3 linked regions of the Schizosaccharomyces pombe genome follow. Changing the gene in region 2 together with the main gene of any one other region gives a genetic interaction. Each region holds a gene or a part of one and is shown on either strand. Other genes may lie near its edges.

Evidence for each region.
Region 1: of wis1 (region 2) and atf1, a mutation in one rescues a mutant of the other (synthetic rescue), as found in Schizosaccharomyces pombe (2 studies listed by BioGRID, with this or other methods).
Region 3: of wis1 (region 2) and pat1, a mutation in one rescues a mutant of the other (synthetic rescue), as found in Schizosaccharomyces pombe (2 studies listed by BioGRID).

Annotation. Positions count from the first base shown.
Region 1 is NC_003423.3:1,544,494-1,554,063, forward strand, and holds atf1 (Atf-CREB family transcription factor Atf1), read left to right. Parts: upstream 1-1,723; 5' UTR 1,724-1,971; exon of another isoform or gene 1,972-2,367; intron 2,368-2,826; 5' UTR 2,827-3,167; coding exon 3,168-4,868; 3' UTR 4,869-5,369; downstream 5,370-9,570. Other genes in the region: contractile ring-membrane anchor Fic1, read right to left, coding at 1-172, 226-273; plasma membrane OPT oligopeptide transmembrane transporter family Isp4, read right to left, coding at 5,941-8,298.
Region 2 is NC_003423.3:1,143,231-1,148,355, forward strand, and holds wis1 (MAP kinase kinase Wis1), read right to left. Parts: upstream 3,374-5,125; 5' UTR 2,555-3,373; coding exon 737-2,554; 3' UTR 501-736; downstream 1-500. Other genes in the region: ubiquitin hydrolase Uch2, read left to right, coding at 1-43. UniProt on the Schizosaccharomyces pombe protein: Dosage-dependent regulator of mitosis with serine/ threonine protein kinase activity. May play a role in the integration of nutritional sensing with the control over entry into mitosis. It may interact with cdc25, wee1 and win1. May activate sty1.
Region 3 is NC_003423.3:1,681,179-1,688,756, reverse strand, and holds pat1 (serine/threonine protein kinase Ran1/Pat1), read right to left. Parts: upstream 5,897-7,578; coding exon 4,484-5,896; 3' UTR 4,202-4,483; downstream 1-4,201. Other genes in the region: fructose-bisphosphate aldolase Fba1, read right to left, coding at 1-390; protein mug124, read left to right, coding at 1,552-1,989. UniProt on the Schizosaccharomyces pombe protein: This protein is a negative regulator of both sexual conjugation and meiosis. It phosphorylates mei2. It blocks the onset of meiosis until conjugation takes place.

The DNA of each region.
Region 1 (9,570 bases), 400 kb from region 2:
TTATTTTCATAATATGATAAGATTCACTGGGAATGTTAAACTCCAGTACCGCATTCCACGATGGTTCTTGACCGCTTCTCTTATCCGTTTGCGTACGTTTTACCACCTCACCAACTCTGCAAACGCAGTAAGGGCTTTGTTTGCCCACTAGAGCCTTGTTTGGTAAATTTTTCTAAAGAAGACACGTTAGTTTTACAAAACAAATCTTCATCTTTTAAGACTTACAGCTTTCCATATTCGGACAACCAACGTTCCAAGAGGATTCTTTGACATATGGTAGATGGAGAAACGGGTTATAAACAAAAAAGCTACTTTATACAATTCGAGTGCGGATTTTAAGCAGTGCAGCGCAACTTCTGTAGGAGGGGGCTGGTTTGTCTCCGATAACGGGGGTTAGCTTTCGTTCATTCATTTAACGTAGCTTACTGCAATTTAAAATGCTTTAACGGAAATTTGTGTACGCTACGATATTGATGGCTCCAGTTAGGAAATTCGTGAAGAAAGATGCCGTGTTAAAAAAAATTAAAAATTAACAAAAAAAAAAAAAAAAAAAGAGAGACGAAAGTTATCGCAAACAAAAAGAACTTTATTAATATAACTAATTGCATTAATGATTGACTCAGTACACACCACACAAATATATTCACTTAATTTTAATTGTTTTAAAATGAGTGTAAAATATCTATTGGTATAACCAATTCCATCACAATTGCTAATTGAATGGAATGATTTGCATAAAATGTTTCTAACTTAATTTTTTTATTCTTTTATGTTTCACGAATACAAATTTATTTTGTTTTTAAAAAACTTCATTTTCTTTGCTTATCTTTTGGGTAGTTTTCGGATCCGTAATCCCAACAAAATGCCAACCCGTATTGACTAATAAGTTCCCGAAAATGTAAGCAAAAGATTTCATTGTAAAACAAATGAATTAGCTATTAAAACTGTTATTTAAATGTTGTAAGGGTTGGTATGTTATATATACAATCTAAGTCTATGTAAAGACTTTTTGAAAGATCCTACTGTACAGAATTCTCCATAATTGAATTCGTGACAAGTACTCATAATATTTGAAACTTGTATATTATTTCTGCGTATAACCTATCTTTATTTTTATTTTAATTTTATTTTTTACTTTATTTTATTTTATTTTATTTTATTTTTTCGTAGGTCTTCTGGAACTGCTGGATCTATTCATACATTGCTAATTACTCAGCGTACGTACACATCTTACAAACACGCAGAAGTCCAACCTAAAACACTTACCTACATACAACATAATATCAGAAATACACGCAACGATTTAGCTTCATCAAAGATATATTATTTATTCATTCATCGGTTAATATAAAATAAGCTTGAGTTAAGAGTGAAATAAGATTCATGGCACTATACACAAACTCACCATTTTTACTACATATTGCTAACATCATATTTGCTTAAAAAGCACGCACTCCATGATATACCAATAACATCCTACTTTCCGTCCATCCTTTCCCATTCCCCAAACTATCGATACGTTTCTTAACGATACGATAACACAAAATACAAAACTACACAGCAGTACTTTAAGTATCGTCTTGCTCGGTTTATTCCAGACCCATTTCCTTGTTACCCTTCTTCAGAGCCCCGCACGTGATTGGTTAAGTTCAATCATGCAAAGTGATGCAATGACGTCATCTGTTTGAAACAGGTGGAAGTGTGGCACTAGGAATTTACAACTTACCCTTTACTTACAACATAAGAAGAAAGAAACTACTTAGGAAATTGCTAAAAAGTTTACTTTGAGCACTTTTTGAACGATTGAATTGACGAAAACCATTTTTCTGTTTGTAAATTTCAGTTTGGACAGTTGACCGAGTCTTTTCATCATTTATACAGTAGTCATCGCTTAGTTGGATCTGAATTACGAATTCTCTGGTTCATGACGACGACCTGCTACTAGTACGTTTGGTTGATTAAGTCAAATAGGTATGTGTTTATACATGCAATTGTGAAGTTTGATTATGTAAAAGGCTGTAAAATTGGAAGAGCGTGATAAAAACGTGACGGGTTGTGTTGAAAACCGAATTTTTATGAAAATTTGAAAATTTGCTCCTATCGTCATTGACCCTACTAAACATGACGAGTATGACGCTTTCTTATCAATAACACTGATCGTTATGGGGTTGTTAGTTTACAGGAAACGTAAAATGTGTTTGGAATTCCTTCGTTTTTTGAGGGTTTGGAAATTTTTTTTTGGTGTTGTTGTGCTAGAAAATTTTACTTGTTACCATTGTAGGTTACTATTGCCTTGACTGAACTGGGATCTATGTGGTGGCAACTTTTGATGAATGATTTCTCGGAAGTGAATAAACGCACACGGGAAGAGAACAAGAGTAGAAAGGAAGCTAGAAGAGCGGAAAACCCGTTTTGTCTCGTTTTTGGCAAAAAAATTTCCAAAAAAGAAAAACGGGTGTTTTAGCAGGTGTATTTGCTGTTGAAGTACGAATCTCTTTATTACTCTACGCTTGACTGTACTCTCTCACATTAAGTTCTGAAACTCATTCAAAAAAGGCCTCCACATTCATATAATCCAAATCAACACACCCTAACAAAAACGATCGAACGAAGAAAAGGAAAAGAACAAAGAGTAGGAACATCCCTTTTATCTTTTGTAATTCTTTATTAGTTTCTTTGTTATTTTATTTGGACATGTTCTTTTACAAACTTGACTATTACCTTTGCGAGTTTTTTTTTACCCTTTGTAGAATATCTTCCTTCACAATCTTGCATATCTAGTCTTCTAGCTTTGCCTGTACAGACATCTAACTAATTCTCGTCTAGAGCCTCCGTCGCGGTTTTCCCTTTTTTTTTCGAGAAAGTTGTATTTTTATCTCCTTAATCTCCTCCTCCTTTTTTTTTCTTTTCTTTTTTATTGAAACAATATAGTTTCTATTTTTTCTGCTTTATCAGCCGTTATTACTTCTGTCTTGTCAAATTTGGAAAGCCATTAATTTCTTGTAGTTGTTTTTTTATTTAGTTTTGACAAAACTATTTTCGATCTTCTCTTTAAACGGGTTCATCTATATATCTAAATTATTTATTTTCGTTATTTAAGCGTGTGTGATTTTTAACGTCATCTCTTAATACATTTTGTCAAGTGTTAAAGCATAAATTCTTCAATTATGTCCCCGTCTCCCGTCAATACTTCCACAGAACCAGCATCTGTTGCCGCTGTTTCAAATGGTAATGCTACTGCTTCCAGTACTCAGGTTCCGGAAAACAATCAATCTGATTCATTTGCACCACCAAGCAACAATTCTCAGCAGAATCAACAGTCTTCAACTATCGCTCCTAATGGAGGGGCCGGATCTGTCGCTAATGCGAATCCAGCTGACCAATCCGATGGTGTAACTCCGTCTTTCGTAGGCTCCTTGAAGCTGGATTACGAACCCAACCCCTTTGAGCATTCATTTGGCTCTACCGCTTCGGTTGGACAAGGAAATCCTTCTCTTAATCGTAATCCTAGCCTTAGTAACATTCCTTCAGGTGTGCCTCCTGCGTTTGCGCGAACTCTCTTACCTCCTGTTTCTTCCATAGCATCACCTGATATCTTAAGTGGAGCTCCAGGTATTGCCTCGCCGTTGGGCTATCCTGCTTGGTCTGCTTTTACTCGTGGTACAATGCATAATCCCCTTTCTCCTGCTATTTATGATGCTACTCTTCGTCCTGACTACCTAAACAATCCTTCAGATGCATCTGCAGCAGCTAGATTTTCTAGTGGAACTGGATTTACTCCTGGTGTTAATGAACCCTTCCGATCTCTTTTAACCCCTACTGGAGCTGGATTTCCCGCTCCTTCACCTGGTACTGCCAATTTATTAGGGTTTCATACGTTTGATTCTCAATTTCCTGATCAATATCGTTTTACCCCAAGGGATGGTAAACCGCCTGTTGTAAATGGGACGAATGGTGACCAGTCTGATTATTTCGGTGCCAATGCTGCGGTTCATGGGTTATGCTTACTCTCCCAGGTTCCCGATCAGCAGCAAAAGCTTCAGCAACCCATCTCCTCTGAAAACGATCAAGCAGCATCCACCACTGCCAACAACCTCCTGAAGCAAACTCAGCAACAGACTTTCCCCGACTCTATCCGGCCATCTTTTACTCAAAATACTAACCCCCAAGCTGTTACAGGTACAATGAACCCTCAAGCATCTCGTACTCAGCAACAGCCTATGTACTTTATGGGGTCGCAACAATTTAACGGCATGCCATCTGTTTACGGCGATACAGTTAATCCTGCCGACCCTTCATTAACATTACGCCAAACCACGGACTTTTCCGGACAAAATGCCGAGAATGGATCCACAAATCTACCGCAAAAAACTTCTAATTCTGATATGCCAACGGCAAATTCGATGCCGGTCAAACTCGAAAATGGTACTGACTATTCCACTTCGCAAGAGCCTTCTAGTAATGCCAATAATCAATCCTCACCCACTTCTTCCATTAATGGTAAGGCTTCTAGTGAATCTGCCAACGGCACTTCGTATAGCAAAGGTTCATCTCGCCGGAATTCCAAAAACGAAACTGATGAAGAGAAACGTAAAAGCTTCCTGGAACGCAATCGACAAGCTGCTCTTAAATGTAGACAGCGTAAAAAACAATGGCTTTCTAATCTTCAAGCGAAGGTTGAATTTTATGGTAATGAAAATGAAATTTTAAGTGCACAAGTCAGTGCATTACGTGAGGAAATTGTGAGTTTGAAGACCTTATTGATTGCTCATAAAGACTGCCCAGTGGCCAAGAGTAATTCGGCTGCTGTTGCAACAAGTGTCATCGGAAGCGGTGATCTTGCTCAAAGAATCAATTTAGGGTACTAGACTGTTTTTGATCTGAAAAGGTCTCAGTCTGTGATGGTTGTAATGAAGAATAACGTTTTTACTTCCCTTTGACTTTCCCTCCGTTGAGGGTTGTAACGCCCTTTTCCATGCATTTAGCTATGTTATGGATGTGAAATTATATATGTTTATTTTACATTAAAAAATCTTTAGGCTTCTCTTTTTATATTTCTTCCCGTTTTCCATTACTGTTTTAATTTTGCACTGAACGCCGTCCCGCATGCATACTTTTAGTACTTTATGAAGTGATAAAATTTGTCTGTCGTGTCTAGTTCACTATAATATCGTTTGGACAACAAAAACTACACGCTTTCTTAATGTTTACCATTCATCACATGTGGCAGAGTTATAGAATACTACTTATAACTCATTCTTATGAGATTGATTTGATTTAATAATTAAAACTATATTATTTAGTAAGAATCAGCAGTGTTTTTAATAACAACTGATTACTGTTTTCCTTTAATGTAAGAAATCAACAAGTCTTAGTGTATTGTGGGAGTATTAATATCGTGAACAGTATATAAATCAAGTTAATGAATAGGTTTGTCATCGGTCATTTACATATCTATTATCATACGAACATGCATTCATAAGATGAAATCAAGTTAAAATTTGCACCTTCACAATATTTACTTTACTTAGTGAGTGTTTGTCGCTACATTGAGGATGTATACAAAAAGTGAAAATGAAATTACTGATGTTCACATTACAAAACGTATATAAAAATGCAAACGTTTGTTTCAATTTAGAACGAACTATTCAATTCTAACAACAATTAATAAAAAATAACAAATTAGAAAGCTTAATAAACATGAGATAAACTTGTTGAACGATTGATTAAACACAAATCTAATCATGCAACGTAAAAAAAAATAGACAACAATCAATCATCCAAAAATATATATTGCATAGATGTTGAATATTCAAACACTAAAAGAAAGTGTAGACATAATTAATTCACGAAGCTTTAGTATACAAATCAATGCTTATAATTTTTATCATTTGTTAAAAGATGGAAAAAAAAAACAAAGAAAAAAATACAGCATTGATTTTACCATTCGGCGGGACCAAAGAATTCACCTGCTGACTCATTGACGAGTTTCCTAACAGCGGCACCTGTAGCATCCAGCGTATTAAAGGCACCATCATTACCCCACCAATCTGGGAAATTAACCATAGGCAACTGTAAGCAAAAGAAAAGTATAATGACCGACAACTGCGTACCAGTATCAAGAGCAGCAGAAAGCGTGAAATTGTATTTCTGCCACCAGTCTGCGAATATCTTCTTCAGATAATAATTGAAGAACAGACCAATTCCAGACCAAGCCAGATAGTTTACAGGAGTAGCTGGGGGAATATAACCAGTACCTCCAAAAATTAGCGGGCCATTCAATTGACCCCACCATTTTTGAGGCCATTTCTTCCATAGAGCCCAGAACAAAATTGTACCCAGCACGCCAGCGAGCCAGAAGTACTGCAATCCCGTATAGGTGTTTTTTCCAGAAAACATTCTCTTGGGACCAATTACACCCCAAATAACGGAAGAATTAAAAAAGACAGTTGCATTAGGACAAGTGTAATTATCAGGTTGATCGGCCTGGCAAACATTATCAATATTACCCAAAGCCCAATCCAATACGCCGATCTGAACAAAGCAAGACCATATGGTGGCAATCATTTGGGTGTAAAACATGATTCTGGGAGGAAGCTTCATGTAATGACCAAACTTCAGATCGGCAGCGAAAGCCAATCCCTGAGTCATTGTAATATAACCGACAGTCTTGAAAATCATCATGGCCAAAGGACGACCAGGATACATATAACCAACGATAAACTCGGTGAATACATTCAAGCCTAGCTGGATGTTGGTTATAGCTTGAACGATGCCAATTGGAATGAACCATACAGCAGAGAAAATGACACCGACAATGATAACCCACCAAGGGGTTTCCGTTTTCCAACCATAAATAGTACCCATCATCATGCCGAAAAAGGCCAAGAAAACACTCAAATACCAATAGAAGGGAACTTCATCATAGGCTTTCATGAGTTTTTCATGGATATCAGGTGCGGGTGGATCGCGTAACCTGTCGTAGATCTCTTTTCCATGGTATAGGATCACGTGGAAAATGACAGAAGTGATGGAAGCGAAGGAAAGGCCAAATGCCAAAGCGTAGGTGGTGGACATGAAAATGGGAGAATAGTTTTGATAGGCATCCAAATCAAACGTAGCATCCTTGGTGAGGATGCGAGTAACGTTATAGCTATTACCAAAGTGATCGATAATACCAGAACTACTGATCGGTAGGTAATCACCATACCACGTGTTGGTAAAGTTAAGGGCTGGAGTGACGATCCAAAAGAATAGAATGACGCCCAAAAGAATGTTCATCAAAGCATCGGCAGGAGCCATGAGGGGGGAAAGAATGTATGCGGAAATTTGATTCCAATCAAAAGTCATGGGAAGGATGGAGATTCCGGTGGATTCACCAAAGATTTGATTTACAGTTGGACTATTAGGACGAATCCAAGTGACCCAAGCAAATAGGGAAAGGGCTTGGAAAATGTAGGAAGGGAACCAATTCCAAATGAATGAAGCAATAAAAACGTACAAAAAGAAACGGAAGGGGGAAATTCTCCAGCCATTGGCAACGGCGTTTCGTAAGTCTTTGCGATGTAAAGTCTTGATCAAGGTGCATTGAACGAGATTCACAGGCCACAACATACTAGCAGGACGGACCAAAAGTCTTCTGGATAAACCAGCCAATCCGTATCCGATAAGTTGAGTGGCCAAAGTCAAACAGATTTCGTAGCCAAAGCCGAAGCGCTGTTTGTAGTGTACACGTTGGGCGAGGATGATATCGGTGGAGTAGGCATTACCAAACGATACACTCGACATAACGACGATGAGAGCATGTTCTTTAACGTTAAAGGGACCAGGCTTAAAATTAAACTTTAAACGTCCAATGCGAAATTCGCGATCGGGGAAAATCAAGTCCCAAATCTGTAATGCTGGGTATGCGAGAAGCTCGGAAATCAAAACACTCAAAGTGACGGTTGGGTTTCGAAGGGAAAAGAACATGTTGACGGCGGCACCAACGGTGGAATAGATGAGACCAATGGTCCACATGCGAATGGTGTTGCATGGCATACTTGGATCATCGGTAGGAGGGACGGCGGCACGAACCTCTGGATAAGGAGAGTCTTCCTCAAACTCGTCAACCGTACTAATTTCACCATGTTCGACATCGAGAAAGGACTTTGTGTCTTTCTTGATGTCTTTGGATAAACTGTCATCGGAATGGCTAACGATGTAATCAGAGATGTCGACGGAGTCGGCCTTTTCCTTTGTAGAGGGGGAGTCATTCATATGCTCCTCGATGGGAGACTCATTGATGGAACCGATCATTATGGGAAGAAGGGAGGAGAATCAAGAGAGAGAGAGAGAGAGAGAGAGAAAAAAAAAAAGTCAAACTTGATTCACCAAAAAAATAAAAAGAAACAAACCAAAAATGGTTGAGAGAGAGAAATACTAGAAAAAGTTTTTGCTTAGTTTTCGAAAGAGAGGAAACAAGATTTTCCAAATAGAATTGACGAGAGACGAAACGAAAATGATGTATTTATGAAACGAAACGAAACGAACAGTGCGATACGATAAAGAAATCACAAAAAAATCACTACGAAACTTCACGGTGATTGAAGAAACGAGCAATGGATGGGATTTGGAAAAAGAGCAAAGTGTTTAATACTTCTTCATCAATAAAATTCGTGAAGGAAGAAAAACACCTTTATGTTTTTATGGAATCAACGTCCACGTATGTAGAGATAAAAATGTATACAAGATGGTTTTTATAGACTGTACAAAAATAGTATAGTCTAGAATAGAATAGTATAGTATAGTATAGTAAAGTAGAGTAGAGTATAGTCTAGTACAGCAACAATAACAATTTAGTTTTTGTTTTTTCTTTAACTTTCCTTTTCTTTTTATGTTACAATGGTTTCCAAACTTTTAGTATCTTGGAGCGGGCGGGGGGATTTAGCTGCCGAAAAACGTGCAAACAATAATCGATGTTAATTTGTTCAACTTTTATTTTGAGTTGACACATGGAGGGATTTTCACCTCTATATATAAAAGGGAAAAAAGGTGCGGCATTTGATTTTTTCCACTCGTAATCAATTCATTGCTCTTTCTTCCTTCCATGATAACCAACCCTTTCGCTCATTGTGTGTGAAATATGAATCAGAGATAAAGTCCTTATTACATAAATGGGATGCAGGAGATGACCAGTCAGTTCTATTCTATCTTGATAAAAGTCGTACTGTTGTCATGAAGGGGTCAGGGGCGGCAAAGCTTGACGATGGAGAGAGAGGAAGAAAGCACAATCGACAAAGTAGAACTGATAAGCAAAGCAAAGCAGAATTGACAAAGCAAAACGGAATTGAAAAAAGCACAGATGATGAGGATTCAAAGGGATGTAAAGCTGAAGAAAAGAAAAGAAAAAAAAAAGAAAAGGAAAAAAAAGAGGATTTGTTTATATTTTCATAATTTTGATTCAATTGATGTGTGTGTGTTTGTATGTAAGTGTAAGTGTAAGTGTATGTATTGTTGTTTTTATTTATATATATTTTTTTATATTTCAATTCATCCCTTTTCTCTTCCTCTCTCTCTCTCTCTCTCTTT
Region 2 (5,125 bases):
TGAAACTGCAAAAGCGAAATACGCATCTCAAAAGCGACCGTAATATATTACGGCGTTCTTTCTCAAAAAATATTCCACTATGAAGGAATTTTCATTTCCAGGATAAAAATCTGTTATGACTCTAGATTACCTTGTTGGACTTATGTTGGGAGAATTTGTTTCTTTGATATATAAAAGTCTCGTACTTTTTAAATAAATGAATACCTCAAATCTCTTTGAGTAATATATTAATAGTTTAAGTAATTATTATTAGGTCGATATAATATCTATTAACACTTGCATTTACGATGGATTCAATCTCTCTAAGTAATCACCATTGTAGGAAACAGGAGATCATAGTAGCTAAAACGACGGAGCCAGTCAACGAAGTTTTAAAAGAAATAAATTAATACAGTACAAGTAACTTTTACAATTGCAAACTTTCGTTTGCACTTCTAAAGCCCCTTAGTTAAATAAAAAAAAAGTTTTTTATGGTGGACGTAAATGCCTTAAACAAATGTAATAACACATTAAATACCCGTTTTAATTTAAAGCAAAAATGCAAACATCAACTACCGTTATACGGAATCATACCCAAATTATTAAATTTATGAAAAAGCACAAATGCAAAATAGCGTCGGTTCTGCTGAAACATAATTATGGATCACGTAATAGTCATGCATTCGAAATTAAAGACAAACACCAATGCGCATGGGTACTTTAAAACAGAGCAGGCAATTAGAAAGCAGGCGAACCTTTAGCTTCTTTTTTCACCTTTCTCTTTAAGAGCGCCTTTTGCCCATGAAGCCATGTCCACATCTGCATTTTGATATTTTAACAACCATGGATGGTTAGCCAACTCATGATAATCGGGACGCAAAGACGGGTTTTTATTCAAACACTTGTTTACAAAATCACGAGCTTCGGGAGAAAATGAATCGGGGAGAGAAGGTGGATCGCCATCGCAAATCGCCGATAGTTGTGCAAATATTGAAGTATATGATTCAGGTGGATACGGATAAGCTCCTAAAGCCATTTCTAAAATGGTAAGGCCTAGAGACCACACATCAGCCTGTACGGTGTAAGTCAAGACGCCATTGGTAGGTCCACCAACACGAATTCTTTCAGGAGCCATGTAAGATTGACATCCAATGTTCGTTTTGGATATAGAAGCCACAAGATTCCCACTCACGCCAAAGTCACATAACTTAACCTGGCCATTAGAATTTACCAAAACATTAGTAGGTTTAACGTCACGATGAATGATATTATGCTCCTCTTTCAAAGTTTTGAGGCCTTGCACTACAGCATAAGCAGTTCTAGCTAAAACTCCTTCGTCTTTGATACCACCAGCATACAGTTTGTCCATGCTACCAGCATCCATATATTCCATACAAATAAAAACAGAACCTTCCACAAAAAAGGCACCATAAAAGTCAACGATATAAGGACTAACTGCTTTATGTAAAATATCCAATTCCATTATAATTTGATTAAATGTTGCTTCTTCTAAGGACAACCTAATTTCCTTCAAGGCCATAGTGACACCAGTCGGTTGATGCAATGCTTTATACACAACACCATAGTTACCTTTTCCAAGTTCTTCAAGCTTAATAATCTCTGACATATTAATACGAAACGAAGAGCCAGATGAAAAGTTAACACCTTCTGAATTTAACACGGCTTTGTTTTTAAAATTTAAGGTGCCTGATTTTGCATCCAAAATATCCGAAAATGTGGAAAAAGGGGTTTCCGAAACAGCCTGTTTAAGGGTGGGAGGAATGTTTAGGCCACGGCGAGAAGCCATGCTAGACGGACTGACAGGGCTGGTGGGATTGGAATTGGATAAATCGAGTTTTCCAGGTGGTGCACGACGGATTCTCGTTTGTCGATTGAAGGACGTTGGACGGTTGAGTAAAGGATTCCTAGCAGCAGCAAGTGATTTTGCAAGCCCGGACTCTGGCATATTCGGAGACTTTACGGGCGAATTACTTAATCGACCAGCAAGTTGAGAGTTAGGCAAAGGATAACTTCCTCGTTGACCCATACCGACAATAGGGGTAGTTGGACTACTGATCTTGTTGACTACTTCCGGCATTGATTTTGATCTAGATGCATGGAAGGCCTTCAATTTCTCCTGTATATCAGTTGAAAGTCCTCCAGGAAATGGGCCCGGTGGAGTAGGAGGAGATCCAATATTGTTCTGACCAGCTGCTGTAGGAAGTGAACGTCTAGGTTTTTCCGAAGGATCCTTCATGTCAAGGTTAAGAGAGTTACGACTCCGACTGGACGTAGATCTGCCAAGTCTGACCGTAGGCACGGCACGGGGAAGAGGGGGATCGGAAGGTATTTCACGACTAGGAGAAGAAACCTTTGAGTCATTGTCACTGCCACTACTGTTAGAATTTAAAGACAAGGAACCCAAGGAAGAACCAGAAGAATCGGTGTTTGAAGAACTTGAAGACGAAAGAGAAAGGAGCGAGCCGGGAGTACCAACATCACCGGGAGGTGCGGTAGGAGAAATAGACAGCTGTCTCAATGAGCAAGACAAGGGTTGATTATTTGGAGAAGACATATAAAATAAATGTGCTTCACAAACTTAAAAAAAAAGAAAAAAAAATTAGGTAAACTAAATTCCGGTAATATAAATGAAGCAAAAGTGAAGATGAACGAAAGTGAGATGGCAATACAAAAAAGGTATCTTGGGTGAAAAGAACAATTAAAATTAGACAATCAATTACGAGTCGTCTCCGACGAAGAAGGAAAAAAAAAGCGGTGGTCTAAAAAGTCCGCAGGAAGGATATTCCAAGAAAAAAAAAGGAAGTTTAAAGGCAATCACCTACGAGTAGCTTTGTGTAGGTAAATGCCACGGAAAAAAAGGAGGTTTGGAAGGGTTTAAATTTAACAGCAAAAGCCAGAAACTGGAAGAAACAGGGGCTTAGATAATAAATTTCCCAAGGAGAACTAAAGAAAAAAAAGTAAAAAGGTGTGGGTTAATCTTAGTCCGAGAAGTCAATACTTTAAAACCGAGTTATGACCGACGAGTAAGGAGGCAAAGGTAAGGAGAAAAAGTAATAATTCACAAACACGAAATAAAAAGGAAAGAAATTTGAAATTATCTTTCTAAAAGATAACACGTAAGGGTGTGGAAGGAAGAGAAAAAATTCAGAAACGCTTTTCTCTTACAGTAAAGAGCAAAAAAAATTCTGCTCTTTAAAGGAAATGGGAAAATTTAGGGAGGGTGATAAAATAGGAAGTGTAGTCGGTACGATGTAAATAAGATATACACGTCGAAAGGGAATGCTTGAGAGATTAGGAATCCCAGCTATCGCCAGCCGGCTGGGGTATGTTTGGGTATACAAGAAGGTGGAATGGGATGGAGTTGGTGAAGGATAAAAGGATAACGAAAGTCAGACAACACGTTGCTTAATCTTAAGGAGAAACTTTTGCACGTTAGCTTACGTATCAGTATATAAGGATAACGTGGATAAAAAAATGTTTCATCAAAACAAGGGATGGTTAAGGGATACAATCAAATTTGTAAAATCAAAATAACGTGAAGCCAAATAATATGCTGCAGATCTCCGTATAAGCGTAACGACCTGTATGAATCATTCGACAAGATTTCTAACAAGGTATCCTGAGATTTATATGCAAATGGAAAGAATGTACGGCAGAAATAGCTGGTAAGAAATACCTCGATGGATTAATGGGAAAGCACAGGATGATTGGGTAAAATGCTCAACGTATAGAGAATAATACATAGAAGTAAAGAAAAACAGAAAAAAAAAGGGCCGAAAAATATTTTAATGGAAGATAAACACAACGATTTATCGGTCTTGACAGAAGGAATTGAATTGTCCGATAGATATGGTAGTGTTTGATTAGAAAAGAATAAAGAATAAATAAATAAAAACAAAAATAATTAATGATTAGGTGCATAGGGCTTTAAGTTTCAAAGCTGGTATTCGAATGTCAATGTATACTAAGAAAAATCATGATCCAAGGTAAAATGTATAACCAAATAAATAAGAGAAATATAACTAACCTAGTAGCTTCCGTCCTTGAGAGCGATAAAAAAAAGCGAGTTAACGCACAAGTGTTTCGAAAAGGTGTAGTAATGTATAATAAAACATTTTTTAATAATCGTTAAAAGGTTCAGCAAGTGGAATGAAGAGAGTGTGTTATTTGTGCTCTAGAAGCAGCGTAAAAAAAAATTTATTTATTTTTAAATTTTTTTTTTTTTTCTAATTTTTTTAAATTTCTTTTGTTTAAGGAAACACACAAAAATAATGTAAGAGTAGCAGCAAAACTGCTAGGAACATTTTGTTCTATGGAAAAAGACACTGAAGTGAAAAGTGCAACGAAGGGGTAGAACTTTCGTAGGAAGGAAAAACAAGCAAAGAGAAAAAAATTTACAAAAGTTCCTAGATCACTCCATCTATATGCAAATGCATAATGTACGGTGTATGCTCGAACAAAGTAGAAAGGGGGCTATAAAAACGATTTGAGGATAATCCTTTATTAATGAGAAAAAATTTGGAACGTCTAGTTTTGCGCCAACATCAAGGGAAGACAAAAAAAATTTTCATTAAAACAGACTCAATAATGTTCAATTGAGATAGAAGAATACAGAAAGAGTCGAATGATTGAACATGTGGTGAAAAAGGCTGAAGATGAAACTAGATAGAAAGAGGCTGTATTCCCAACATCCAAAAATGAGGAAAAACTAAAGAAGAGAAGGAAAGTGGAATAAAATGAAGAAATTAAAAGAGAAAATCATACGATGAAACTGAGAAGAAGAAGAAGGCATTTTATTTTAATTTTATTAATTTTATTAGATTTCATTTCGTTTGACGCTTTACGGTTTCATGAAATGCCAAATTGCTAATTCTTTATTAGATTTTGGAGTATTTTCATTGTTAGTCTGCGAGTATTTTCATTATTAGTTTGTATTTAAAAAGTTTCATCGTATGTTTCTATAGATGCGTTTTTTTTTACATTATTTGAATTGAATGAAGAATTGATTTGCTATAAGAGAAATTTTTGACTTGGTATGGTTGCTGGCTGGCACCCACGGCTGCGTATGCCACATACCATACAATAGTAGACTAAGACGACTGTACATACGAATGGTAGTTGTTTT
Region 3 (7,578 bases), 540 kb from region 2:
CTTGAAGTAGGCCTCATCGGCTTCGAACATACCGTCCATCCAGGGGAGAAGCTTCTTGGCGCAGTGGTCAGAGTGCATGACGACGGGGACACCGAAGAAAGGAGCGATGGAACGGATGTAGTGGGCAGCGGCGATGGAACCGGCAATGGAGGCCTTTTGGCCCTCGTTGGAGGATTCCTTACCAGCAAAGAAGTGAGCACCACCGTTGGAGGTTTGCAAGATGATGGGGGAACGAGCCTCACGAGCAGCCTCAAGAGCAGCAATAGCAGTGGAGGAGGAGGTGACGTTAATGGCAGGGATGGCGAATCCGTGCTCACGAGCGTAGGTGAACAACTTTAAAACGTTGTCACCTGTAATAACACCAGTAGGTACAATATCGAGAATTCCCATTTTGCTAATTTGTGTGTGTGTTCTATACGACCTTTGGAAGTATGATACTGCAACAGTAGCGCGCAACCCTCTATTATATACCATGGAGCCGGAGTTGGCCTCGGAAAAACTTCTCACCTGATGTGCATATCGATACCTATCCGGTCCGTGGTTACCACCAATCACCGTCCCCTGTTTTAGGGGTTGACGTCAAAAGAAGTTTTTGATTTCTTCCATTTACCATCCCCAATCCCCCCGATAGCGCTCTGCATCGAAGTACGCAATTCCGTTCAAGAACCGTAACACGTTGCGTGGTGTGTGTCAAGGCAAAAGGAAGCGGCGGCGGCGGTAACCAACTCGTTCACCCGATGCACAAACACAAACAAAAGAAACATTACCAACGTAAACATAAATACAAACCTAAGCATTAAACATTTATAAATACAAACATCTAACCTGCCCTATACTATTCATATGTCTATTTCATTTCTATTCATTTCTTTTCATTAATTTCATTTCATCTCCTCTTGTCTTGTCTCGTCTCGTCTCGCTTCTCCATTCTCCCAGCCATCCCTACTTCCCAGTTTGAGTGATGGATTTTTCTACTCAACCAACTTGAACCAGCCAACTAAACTAATGCATTTCTTTTGTTATCACAGTCTGGCCGTCTCGGTTCGGTTCGATGGTGTTGTGCCCACACACCCCATCTGCATCTTCGGTAGTATTCTTATTTTATAGTTGTCGCCTGGGTCAAATGATCAAGAAATGCAAGGCAATTCTTCTTCCAAGCATGCTTGAATTAGCTTTACCATCAATGTAAGAATAGACACTTTGCACCGCATTTCATCACTGTCTTTACACAAGCAGGTATGTGAAATGAAAAGTATTTTTGGACATATACAAAGTGCACAACTAAGTAGCTCTCTCACGTATTGATGATTTTCCATGCGTCCGACCGGCATTCGTTTACGGGAGTATGAATTTCGTAAGTGGTTTGATTGATTGAATGCTTTATCATTTTTTGGTTATCTAGTACCACTTGTGTTTCGCTTGGCCACGAGTAATATTAGTCCAGCAATGAGGTGAGAGAAGAGATCATCGTTTGTGTACATAACAAGAGGAAGAAACATTGATAAAAAGGAATTGAGAGAGTGGAAGAGGATGAGACTTGACTAGAAGAGTATGAGACTGCAGTCACTGTCAAGTGTTGCTATTGCTGAGACTAGGAGACAAATCATTCTTACTATTATTAACTCTCTTGTTTACTTGGTAAATTTCATTTCATGTCCATCCATTCATTCCATTCCATTCCACATCTCCACCCATCTCACATCATGTCAAGCTAATATTTCTCTGCTCAAAATCGTTGGTCTGCATTGTCCATTCCATCGTCGTGGCATTGCATCTCTGAGTGTATGTGTGGCATTGCATTGGATTGCGTTTTCATGCTCGGTCATGTGTCACTTTGCTTGGAGTTGCGCTTTGCCTTGTTTTGTCGATTCATTTTTTCCATCCAATTTCTTCCTTCGTACATACGCTTTGTTTACGTTTTCGCTGCAGCTCTGGTCAGGTAACGATTTGCAAGGCAACCATTCCTATTTAGCAACCCCGACACGATGACCGATATACCTCGTTACCTAGATGGGCTCGGTTGATGTCAGCGGCACTTGAACCCTTCGCTACGGATAACAATTGGATTACCGCAGGGAAATGGTTGGAACGGATAAACTCTTGTTGTTAGAGATAAGCAAAATCTTGACGAATATTGTTCCTCGCCTCTTTGGCAACGCAACGCATCGATATAACGATGTAGGGCAATGCACTGTAAGCGGGCTATGTGAGGTTAACGTGGGCTTGTGAAATGAAAGGGAGAGCAGAGGGAAATGGAGAGAGAGAGAGAAAGAGTAAGACTGCAGACGCTGGATAAGTAGCATAACGCAGTGTAACTTGTAACATCGTAACACATCGAGGATAACATATAGACAAAGCGTCGTCGTAACGAATATATAGAGAGAGTTAAAAGACTAGGGTATAATATGTTTACTTGCACGCTCTACTAAATAATAGGTATAGCACGTATATCCAAGTTGTAACTACAGCTATGTACAAGTACATCTCATAGCACAATATACACATATATAAACACATTATGTGGTACAGCCTGTAGACTTTTTATATTTGATAGCATGGTTTGTCGAGTTGTAGGTTTTATTTATTTATTTATTTTTTTAAGTAGACAGCATAGTTTGTGTAATTGATTTTCCATCCATTAAGTTTATTATCCTACTTTTTCGTTTGCACAGAATCTCATTCACTAATACACTCATACATACACACACTTTTTCTTACCCAATCCTTTCTATTTCATTCCTTTACTCCTAGCATTCTTTATAGAAATACATATTCCACTTCATTCACCTATTCATCCATTCATCATTCATCTATCCACTCTATCTTTCTCATTCCTTTCCATTCCTTTACTATATATGCACTACAACTTCATATTCTTATTCCCTAAACAAAACCATAGTGTTCTTCCTTTGCCTCTCTATTCTTTTCCGCTCTTGTTAGCTCTTCACTCAAGCTGACATCCCTCTTCCAGCCCTCCGTCTAACCTTTTTTTCTCCCTGCAAATTAACCTTTTTGTTTCACCATCTCACCATCTTCATCTCGCCTAAAAGGTCTCGCATTCGGTTTCGCCCAAACATAACTTACCGGAACATGCCACCTGCCATCGCTACTCTTCCTGTGGTGTACGGATGATGGTAATGATGCATTCCGTACAATACCCCAAAAAGCTATGAGAAAAAGGTTCCCTATTCCTTTCCAAATTTACTTTTTCTCCCCTGGCGTGGCAAAGTAGCGTAACTCTTCCTATTCCATCTACTAGAACAACTCTTTCGCGTGAGTTACAGTCCCGACCTTCCTTTCCACTTCTTTGTTTACTCGCACCTTCACGCCCTATTAGAGTAAAAAACACTGCCAAAAATTTTATACTATCAAAAAAACGCCATTTTTGTGTACTGCAAGAATCATTACGGTATTTGTAAATTAGCTTCCAAAACGGTTAAACTCTATTAACAAAACACACAGATAACCTCTGTGTACAGCCTAATAAAATTCTCGACCTAGTTCAACTTTCCTATGCCTATCTAAGCTTAACGAATTTTAGAAGCATTGGTTTTTTAAAATATAGCGTTATCTAAAACAGAAAAACTGTATCATCTATTAATGCAACCTAAAGTAAAAAACTATATACATATAAATTTATGAATTTTGTTACAATGTTTACTACATACACTTTACATTCAGTGGAAATTCGTGTAAAGATAATAAATAACAAAGTTTAGTAAAATTTGTCCCCTTACAGGAAACTTATAATTGTATTATTGCTATAATTTAATTGCATCTTCAAACCTAGTTTTCTAATTTCTTTCTCTATCATCCTTTACTAAAATATATCTTTACTTAACTTAACAATATCTTTATTTTTGAAAATATTGTCCAAAAAATATTCTATATACACAACGATATTTGATATAATAATTGCTTAAAAATATCAGTAAAAATATTGTAATATTAGAATTTACAAGAAGATATCTATAAATTTAATTTAATATTTTAACTTTTAACAATATTATTACAAGTTATGAATAATATCCTTCTATCTTCGTATTCCAAAAGCTTAGTTTGCTTTATCTCTTCAACATTTCGAGTATAGCGGTGATACAATATGACTGCATGCTTCATGCTCTAAACTCTTTAAATTTACTATTACAACCGTCGTTAAAACGATCCATTCGTCTACCTTTTCTTTTTTTTTTTTTTAAGTATATATTTATAAAAAAATTTTTGTTTTAAAGAACAAACCACAAGCAAAAAAAATTCATCAATGTTGTTAACAGAAAAAGATAATGCTACCATCATAATAAACATATAAAAAAGAAGAAATATAAGTATAAAACAAGTGCATAAAATGTTAGCTATTTACACAATGTTAAAATTCAAATCCCGAGAAATAATTATTGGGGCAGTCAAAGCCCTCTATAATGTTTTGCAGTAACCCTGAACAAAACAACGTGCGGTAGCGAATATAAAAAAGAAGCAAGTAACTTTAGAGCGATTTTCGAGATGGATCTACGGCATCAGCAGCACGACCAACTGGTGCAGGATGCAAAACGAATCCAGTAAAAGGTATGGGAGTCAGCGGAGGTTGATTAGGATAACCGAAAATTTTTGCATTATTCGGATAGGGTGTGGGTGTAATAGGCATATATGAGTTAGCATTGTTATGGACAGCTGCTGCCGCCGCTGCGGCAGAAGGCCAGAATGATTCGGTTGCATGAATAGGTGCTGTAAGAGGTGTAGTCGGATCTACTTTAAGTGAAGAATTTGGTGTAAGGACTTGTAAGGAGACAGGGATCGTTGGAGTAGCACAATGATTCCAATTACTTACAAACTGGGGAGTCGGAGGCCAGGGAAAGCCAATGTTTTGAGTCGGCATATAGCCTTGATGAGGGTAACCTTGAATTCCTTGTTGCAAATTCATTTGTTGCTGTTGTTGTTGTTGTTGGTATGCGAGATAACGAGATGAAACAAGGGGAGCAGGTCGTAAACGTCGTGTAAGGTTCTTACAGTTTGATACTAGCGTGGAAAGTTCGGGTAATGTGATTCGGGTTTTGGGATTCCTATCAAAAATTCGATTGAGTAGAGAATTGAGCTCTCTACTGATGGGTAAAATGGATAAAAGGGTTGATGGATTGTGAACGTAGGAACGGTAAGTACCATCAGTTTGAGAACATGCACGCTTCCAAGGGTTCCTCTTACAACACAGATTAATTAATATAATTCCCAGAGCCCAGACGTCATTTGGCGCTGTAGCAAAGCTGGATGATTGTGATTCTATAGGTTCAGGAGTTACCGGTAGCATATCTGACAGCGAACTAAGTTTTTTCACCTCCCGTTGACATTCTGGAGACATGTAAAACAGACTACCACATCCAAAGTCACTTGAATAGGGTTCTGTAGTAGCCAGACCAAAATCAGCTAAGTATACGGTGTTTACATCATTTCCAACCATAATGTTTTCGGGTTTAAGATCTCGATGATATATGCCAACTGAGTGACAATGTTCAACAGCAGAAATAAGCTGTAAAAAAACGGTTTTAATTAAATGACTATTCCCTTGATATACCTTTTTCTCCGTGATGTAAGTAAAAAGGTCGCCATTCGGACAATACTGGAGAACGACATAAATGGCGTCTTCCGTTTCTAACACGCGGTGCAATGTAATAATATAAGGATGTGAAGAAACACGAGCATGTAAGGCAAGTTCGCGAGCTTGTAACTTCTTCTGCTTTTCATTTAAGCCATCCTTACATAAAGCCTTTACTGCATACAAGGTACCGTCGTAAATGTCTTCTGCTTTGTACACGACACCATAAGCACCGGCACCGATGATAGAAACAAATCGTAAAGAATCACCCAAGACCTGACCCAAAAGGAGTTCTGGATTTTCGCGCATCATCTAATGTTTAGTAAAGATAAATTAAATAAAGTCCCAATTGATGGCGAAAATTAGATAAGAAAATAGAAAATAAGTATTTCGGATGATAAAGTTTTGAATAGCTTAAAGAACTTTGCAACCGAAACAAAAAAAAAACTTTGAGAAAGGTTAGATTTTCTAATGTCTTCTAAAATCAATGATAAAAAAAACAAAGATCGTTATAAACAGGAAAATAGTCAATAACACAATGATAGGTTTTATCTTGATCGTTTGAGGTTTAATAATATAAGGGAATTTACAAGAAAAAAATTTTTTTTTCAATTGTAAGCAGGTAAAAAATACGACAACGAAGAATGAAAAAGAGAATCGAATACGCCAATCACAGAGAAAACGACCAACATGCAAGAAACAAAATTAATAAAGAAAAGGGGAAATGCAATTGTGGAAGGAAGAGTTAAAACGAATAATATATAATGTTTATGATTAAAAAGCACAGGTCCTTTTGAGTACAACGAATGGAAGTGAGAAGGGAATGTGAATAAAAAACCGGGAAAAATGATGATTAGTATTTTAAGCAGGGAATAAAAAGTAAGAATGCTCAAGATAATCAAAGGAAACTCTAAAGATCAACGTACAAACAAGACACACAACGATTTTCCAAAGGAACAGTAAGAGAAATCGGGAAAATGTACAGGTCAGTAGTCGGTTAAAGATGGGGGAGAAAAGTAGAATTAATTTTTACCTAGTAGTATATCCTTTCCAAATTGAGGTAAAAATGAGAATAGAATGTTCGGTTTAAAAAGAAGAGAGGGGATGAGAAGGAAACACAATCGACAATCAACGCTTGCGAGTAAGTCAATAGACTTAGGTGGAAGAGTTGGACTGGGGAAAAAAGAGATGAGTTCACCTAATGTCAATAAGTATGCACAGCAATATGGATTTGTGAATGTAAAATGAAAAAATCGAGTAATTAAGAAAAGCCGAGAGAAGAGAATTCTTGAAAAGTATTTTCATCAAGCACAAAGGAATTTACAAGAAATCGTTCAGGGTAATTCCCATTTACATTGGGGAAAAGCAGAGAAGTAGTAAGTTTGGATATGGAAAGAAGTATCTATCTCTAATCGAAGAGGCTAGGGGAAAGAACAAAGAAAGGAAAAGCAGACGCGAACAAGAACCAAAGACGAAAGTGAAAAAGAATAAATAAATAAAACAAAAAAAAAATAATAAATTAAAAAAGAGGAAAAGGAAACGCGACTCAAATATGACTAATGCTCGTCGCGATGAGAAATAGTGATTTCTTTGTTAGAAAAACGAGTAAGATGGAAACTTTTAGACACGGGAGATGATAAGAATCCAAGAGGAAGAAGGGAAAACAAATGTAAAAGAAAACGAGGATGGTGGAAGGGAGGATATTAGTAAGAATAAAAAATGGTGGTTAAAGAAAAAATAAAATCCAAATTCGACAATTCAACGTTTGTTTATAGAATTTCGAAGTTTTTAATTAAAAAAAAAATAAAATAAAAAAAATAAGAATACAATCCAAACTTGTGTAGAATGAATAAAAGATAAATTTTTTAATTTTGGTTCGATTTCTAATCAGATAAAAGTAGTGTTTTCTTTATTGCTTTAACACAGTAGACAGCCGAACAACCTGAGTAAGAGTAATCGCGTTAATGACCAGGGGATATGAAAGCTGAAATCGA